2 linked regions of the Caenorhabditis elegans genome follow. The protein of the gene in region 1 purifies or fractionates together with the protein of each later gene. This does not show direct contact. Each region holds a gene or a part of one and is shown on either strand. Other genes may lie near its edges.

What was found.
Region 2: the proteins of ZC412.9 (region 1) and dod-20 fractionate together in Caenorhabditis elegans (co-fractionation; one large-scale study listed by BioGRID). This does not show direct contact.

What each region holds. Positions count from the first base shown.
Region 1 is NC_003283.11:14,880,494-14,883,718, reverse strand, and holds ZC412.9 (uncharacterized protein), read left to right. Parts: upstream 1-1,609; coding exon 1,610-1,710; intron 1,711-1,754; coding exon 1,755-1,877; intron 1,878-1,993; coding exon 1,994-2,125; intron 2,126-2,167; coding exon 2,168-2,402; downstream 2,403-3,225. Other genes in the region: nspa-7 (Nematode Specific Peptide family, group A), read left to right, coding at 576-680; nspa-3 (Nematode Specific Peptide family, group A), read left to right, coding at 3,180-3,225.
Region 2 is NC_003283.11:420,630-424,744, reverse strand, and holds dod-20 (Downstream Of DAF-16 (regulated by DAF-16)), read right to left. Parts: upstream 2,313-4,115; 5' UTR 2,248-2,312; coding exon 2,039-2,247; intron 1,840-2,038; coding exon 1,685-1,839; intron 1,641-1,684; coding exon 1,302-1,640; intron 1,250-1,301; coding exon 1,116-1,249; intron 1,045-1,115; coding exon 846-1,044; intron 794-845; coding exon 681-793; 3' UTR 568-680; downstream 1-567. Other genes in the region: B0554.5 (UNC93-like protein MFSD11), read right to left, coding at 69-232; Y39D8A.1 (UNC93-like protein MFSD11), read right to left, coding at 2,991-3,185, 3,396-3,531, 3,578-3,749, 3,819-4,007, 4,056-4,115.

The sequences.
Region 1 (3,225 bases):
TTGTTTACTCTAAAGTAAGCTTGAACGAAGTTAACGTTAAGTTGGGCTTGTTAAAGCCGAAGTACTGGTCATGGGGCTCACAAAAAGATGATCAGAGCTGAAGTCAGTTGCTCGGCAAATTGAGGAGGTACCTAGGTGAGGAGACAGTTATTTAGTGTCATTACACATGTGTAAAGCCACTCAGTAGACCCAAAAATTTTACAATTTCTGCTTCCAAATACGTTATCCGGTCTTGCCACGACAAATTTTTAATAGTTGCGATGGGGTATGCGCCTTTAAGGAAGTGGTAATGCAATTGGAAATGAGTAGGAATTATTATATGAAATTAAATGTATTTTCACAATGAAATTTAATTTTTTCTGAAATCGAAAAAAAAATTTGATGGTGCGTTTCTAAATTTGAAATGATTTTTTTAAAGAGTTTTTTTTTGCGTTGTTTACATTTTGAGCTTTTCTGATTATTTTTATAGATGTTATCAGCAAAATGATGACAAATAGTTGGTATAAATAAGGAGGAAATTGTCATTCAAATCACGATCAAATCGATCCCAACAACTCTCCCAAAAACACCTCAAGATGAATGTCATCTACACTGCCGTCCTTGTTGCTTCAACTCTCGCCTACACTGCAATGGCTTGGATTGGACTGAGCATTGAAGCCGCCAACGAGGATATGATCTGAAGTGGCAACTGAGCCCTAGCTGCTAATAGTGACCTATGTTTTTAGTCTCACAAATGAAGGTTTATGTGTGGTGTTTTTTGATATTAAGTTTGCACGTTTGTTGCAAAAGATGGTAAAGAAAAATGCAAAGTATAGAGTTTTGCTAATTTGAAAAGATTGGAGACGTCATCATTTCCGCTTTTCAATTCTTGCTCATTTTGCTGAGGCACGAGCTTCTAATTGATTTTCGCGGAAGGACTTCATTTTTACATCCAAACCATTCACAAGAAAAGGAAGTCAAAGTAGTATCAAACAATACCTACATATTTGGAAAAAACAATACCTATGTGGAAGCTTACGCTTATAGTTAGACTAGGCTACCACGAAAATTTCAGAGGCGGTACTAAACTCTAAACCCCGGAAAATTCGGTTTGAAATATTTTTGAGTTCATTTTTTAATTTATTTGGTGACCATAGTATGCCTCAAAAAGTGGTTTTTGTAAGTTTTCAATAATTTGAACGATGCTTGGTAATAGGCAAACATTTGGATTTTGTTATTATTTTTTTGAAAAAAAAATCTGCAATATGCTCTCTTATCTTCAACTAAATTTAAAATCGTTGAAGTTTATTTTCAAAAAACTGACGTTCTACTACGATTGTCATCTCTATATGTCCTCAAATTAAAAAAGAGTTTCTAAAGAATTTATGAGAAACTGTAATAAAATTCAAACTCTTTAATTTTATAATTTTCTTAAAATTACCTATTTAAGTAGATCCAAAATTCACCGTTGAATCCGTCGTACTATCATTCACATTGGAAAAACTGAATTTCACGTTGCTATTTTATTTTTCTCGAAAGGTCACAATTCACAAGTCAAAGTTTGTTTTGGCCATTTAACGTTTTTCTCGTTATTTCTGTAAATTTGGCACTTTGTAAAATTTCCAATAAAATGCTCAATTCGTTCAAAATCACAATCATAGAGTGTCTTCAATTATTCACATCGTTACTTCTGCTTTCAATCTTTTCATGTGCACAGCGTGGCTCTTCAAGGTAATTTTTTTTGTTTGTTTTCAGACTGAATTCTTGACTTTCAGAGAACGAAAATCCCAACGAGGAAACAGTGATATTTCAGTATCACAAACACAGGTGTCAGAACGACCATCAGAGCGCGATCAGAAAAGGAGTGAGGTTAGTCAAAGGAAGCAAAGGAATGATGTGTGAGTGAAGTTGGTGTGAGGTGTAACATCATGGACTACAAGCTACAAATACTACTAACTACAGATTTTTCAATTGGCTGAGAAATGAAGTCAGTCATGTCAAATCCTACTTTCAGACAGGACTCAATCCGAATGTTCCGTGGCCGAAAGCCCCCTCAAAAAGGAAAGCCGGCAATGGAGATAAAGTCAGAGCGATCAGATTCACAGCACACGCTCACCATCACTGTTCCACTGGGAAAAGCTTCAAGGTAATAATTGCTAATCGAAATGCAAATAAATTATATTTTCAGAAACGATCAACCGCCTTCCAATTTGACTGAGGAAGCCGCGAAGAAAGTCGCCGGAACTGGAAGAAATGATGGGAAAAAGGTGCAATTTGCTGAGAAGTTGGTGAACAAAACAAAATCACCATCAACTGGACCGTCTACGTCGAAGAAACTACAAAAATCTCAGAAAACTCAAAAATCATCCAAAAAGTCGCAGAAAAAATCGAAGAAGAGTAAGAAATCTTCAAAAAGTAAGTGACATACATACAGACACTAATTTACAGAATCGTTTTTAGTTTTCAGAAAAATGAAAGAAGAGTTTGGGTGATTTGAGAACTTGTACTTTTGATAATAAATGATTTTGAATATGTTCAAGATTGAATAAAATTTTGCAATTTGTTTGAAACTGTTCCAAGTATATAATAATTTCAGCTGCAATAAAAATTATAATTCGATTTTTTTTCTTGGTTCGCATGTAAAAATGCACATTTTAAGGTCATTTATTTTCTGAGTGGATCTGAGCAAAGATTAGATTTTACTTCTCATGCACTACGGTTTTTGGAATCATCAATTTTTCATATTGTCTTTTCTACCATTAAGTTTTCAAATTATTTTCTTGAAAATTAAATTACCTGAAACATGCCCCTATTTGTTCACAAGATACCCTATGCCAACAAAGGACTTTTCAGACGTCTGACAATCACTAGAAATTCTTGTTTCCTAGTCTTCGGTCTTCTAGTTCTTCTCGCTTTCCCACATTTATATATAGTAGGAATTATTATATGAAATTAAATGTATTTTCACCATGAAATTTAATTTTTTTTTCTGAAATTGGGAAAACATTCGATTAGGCGTATCTAAATTTGAAATGAATTTTTTAGAGTTTTTTTGCGTTGTTTACATTTTGACCTTTTCTGATTATTTTTATAGATGTTATCAGCAAAATGATGACAAATAGTTGGTATAAATAAGGAGGAAATTGTCATTCAAATCACGATCAAATCGATCCCAATAACTCTCCCAACAACACCTCAAGATGAATGCCATCTACACTGCCGTCCTTGTTGCTTCAACTCTCGCCT
Region 2 (4,115 bases), about 14 Mb from region 1:
GGTACATATAAACCAAAGTTATAACATTTAAAATGTTCAATGATTGGTCAGTTGAACTTTCCACTCACCCATAATACCCAGCATAGATGCTGATTTTTGCGGGTTCTCTCTCATGAATCGAATGAATTACAGACTCTAGAATAAACGACTCTGAATCGAATCCAGTCATTATGCACAGCTGACCGAAGCCGAGCAATGCTGCGCATAATAGTTCGAATCGCCGTTGATTCATTTTTTTTTACAAAAATATCAGTTTCAAAAACTTTGAACCGAAAATTTGCGGAGAGTGGAAACTGCGGTGACGGAAAGTTGGAAAGTTCTAGGCTGAATTAATAGGCAAGTTTAAAAAGTTTTGCATAATCGGCTGAACAAGTTCAAACGGAAGGCGGAGAAAGGATGACAGACGTTTTTCAGAGAATTGTGCAATTTTTCACACATTTTTTTTGGTTTGTTGAACTTTTTTGGTCTGTTTAGTACGCGATCAGGGGTGGACGGCAAACGATTTTTTCCGGCAAGTCGGCAACTCGGCAAATTGCCGGAATTGAAAATTTCCGGCAAATCGGCAAAATTTCAAAATTTTACAAATGTTTCATTTTAAAGTGCAATTGTGAGCTGAAATACTTTTCATCGTTTTTCATCAATAATATTATAATTGGGCCATAAATGTCAACATCAAAAAGCTACAGCCAATACATTGTTGAAATAGCCATTGACACGAATAATTGGACGACTCCGGAGGATTGAGTTGCCGTCTGAATGGGCCCTGAAGTTGGACTACCGAACAGAGTACCTTCTGAAATTTCGAATACCTCAAACTACAAAAAATCTAGAAAACAACAACTCACGAGCGACAAAATATTGCACAAAGTAGTATTCAGCAGTTGAGTTTGAGGATGTGGATGAAACTTTGAAAGTTTCAAAGTCAATATATGGGATGCTCCATGGAGAGAAATAGTAACTTGGAGGGAATGATTCTTCATATTTTGAATCTCCGTTATAAAAGCCTACTGTGACTTTTCCCCGCTTTGGGACATGTCCGAGAAGCTGAATTTTTAAATGTAGGGAGTTAGTTGTCGATGTTGGAGCACACAATTTGGTATCAAAATGAAACTTACATTTGCACCAGAAGCTCCAGAATATCTAACATCTCGCTTGATATTAACAGTTATGGTACTAGCATTTCTGGCCAGGGGCTTCATATAGAATCCAGTAGTGGTGAAGGCTGATGTTCTTTTTCCATCAATACTGTCTTCAATGAATTCATTTTTTTAAGTTGCGACCTTAATCTCAATTCCACTTACAGTATCCTGGTTCAATGCTGAAATTGACACCTCGATAAGTTTTCAGATAGAATGCTACTAGGCTCAACGAGAATTTTTCCACATTTGCAAAATACAAATCGGCTTTGTCAGTATGCATCGGGTTCGAGAAAATTTGAGTATTAGTTTCTTCTGCAGTATCCAGTGGAAAATCAGTGTACAGATATGCGTGGGCGGTAGAGTCTTGGCTCCATTGACTGATGATTGAAGACGGATTCGTTCCCATAATGGTGTTAAGGAACAAAATTGTGGTGTTTAAGTTTCCCATTCCTCTAAGGATGATGTTTGGAGATTTAGAAACACCGTAAACGTGAAAATTGGCTGGAAAAAGGATCTAAAGTGGCAATTTAGAAAATACAACTCACTGTCTGCTCGCTGTTTCCTGGAGCTGAGATAAATCACTCCATTAAGTGTTTTCAATTCATTATCACTCAGTGTTGTCGTAATATAGGCAGATTTTTGAACCGGGAATGCAGTGATTTCTCCGGAAGCTTGAAGATTTTTTTTGAGATCGAGGAGTCTGAAAAGCATTTTTATTTAAGTTAATAACTATTATTCGATTTTTTCGAAAACATCACATGAGCGTTTCCCAAAAAAAGTTACGATTTTGAGCTAACATGACTTGTAGATCAAAACTGGCGCGCGATTAGAGTTGACCAATTAGAGGTCATGGCCCCGCCACCTGCGTCTCGTTTATTGGTCGGTACGCTCAAACTTACGTTACGTTCTGCTCATTTCCGGTAATCACGAAAATCTGCTGCAGAATAAATTCAGCGTCCGAGTCGGCGGACACATAAATATTGTACGGTGCATGAGCTTTGAAATTATTTTTCACGTTTGTGCCTTTGAAAGAGCTCAAGCTCATTAACTTTTGAGCGGAGCCACACAGAAATAGACCAGAAATTAAAAATATTGATAAAAATGTCATTTTTTTTTTTGGAATTCGGCAATTTCACAACTGAAACTGAGTCACGAAATGTGTCCAAGGGAATTACCTTATATATGTAAAGTAATAAAATGAGGGGTGGTGAGGAGGTGTGGTGATCAGAAAAAAGATTAAAATTTCAACATAAGTGTGATAAGGTGGAATAAATCGGCGAGAGGCCACCAGGGTAGGCAGGCACCTTATCACGACTAGCTGCCTACCTTTTAGCCTCCGTTGTTCCTAGTGTTTGTAGGATGTAGATTTTCGCATTTCTCTTGTATTTTTTTTCCAAAAAGACCAATACAACTTACATCCCATTAAAAAGCAACGTGCACACACTCTACTGATAACTCGGAAATTAAACTTCGAATTTCGCAAGAAAACCGCTTATCAGTTAAATGATCGAAAGATCAGAACCAGCATTCTTTTTTTGAATCAAACAAAATATAATATTTTAATTCGGAAGAGTGGGAAACGGATCTCCTAGGACAGATCTGCAAGAAAAATGCATTGGAGATTAATTCGAAGTTTCAAAAACTAAAATTTCGAAAAAAAATTGAACAAATTAAATTAATTTAAGTTTGGAAGTATTAAGTGAAAAATTCGAAAATCTACGGAACTACCGCAAAAATGCAAAAAAATAGGTGATAACGTGTGTGATAACATTTAAAGCTTTCATCATCTCAAAAAAAATTTCAAGGTTTACCCGACACAAAATGACATTTTCAAAATTGTTTTAAAAAAAATTAAAAATTAAGTTTCTTTCCAATTTCTGCAGCATTTTTGCTAGCCTCCGTCATTTTCCGTTCCATAATTTGTGTTCTTTTAGAAATGGAAAAGAACAAAATTGTGGCGATGATTGCGAGAATTGGCAGGCCGATTGTGTAGACGTAGAGTGGTGTGATGGGGCTCATGAAGAATAGAATCGTAGATCCAAAAGCCTGGAATATGGTTTCTAGGTGGCTCCGGTAGAACGTTAATGTACATAAGTTGGAAAATTGTTATGCGTAGGTCTTCCATGGTAAGCCTGCGCGGTTTCAGGGCCTGACGACTGCCTAGAACCTGCCTGCCTCACGCCGGCCTTTCGGTCGCCCTAAGGTCAGGCAAGTATGTGTTTTAACGCCCCCAGTTTTTCAAGCCAGTTAACTTACATGATAAATCTTCGACACTGAAAACGCTTGTGGTCTTCTTTTTGGCATCAGCAACGCACAAATCACTGATCTTACACTATTTACACAGCAATCTCCGATTCCACAAAATAAGCCTATGATTAGGGCCAAAAGGTAGCTGAAATTAAATTTGCTACTTACTAAGAAAAACCTGTTAAACTTACGAATGACCAAAAAAAAGTGGCTCCTTGCTAGTTGGCCTAATCGGAGCATCGTACGGAGTAGACATATGGATCATGGCACAATACATCGTGATGAAGATTGCGCCAATCGTCATAGTTGGCTTTTGCCCGAAATCTTTGATACGCTTGCTGAGGAATGAGATCGCTAGTCCAACTGAAATTGAAATTTAGTAAAATCAAAAAAAATTTCACTGAACAATCCCCAAAATTGTCCAAAACTCACTTATAACCTCCCCGGAACCAACTCCTAGACTATAGACTGCTGCTAGGTAGATCAACTTTGAGTTCTGCATGGTAAAGCTCATCGCAGTCGGGAAAACTGAGAGCCAGAATGAGGTGTTGAAGCCGCTGAGCACAAAGAGCGGGAAGAGCTGGAGCATTGTTGGGGAAACCAGTGTCGAGCAGGTGAGTTCTGGAAAGGATTACTGTAGATCTACAATAATCTAGTAGTGCAACTTACTAAGAGCCTCCAAAAAAGTTTCCTTTTTCTCAGAACTACTCTCGATACAGTTCTCGACAT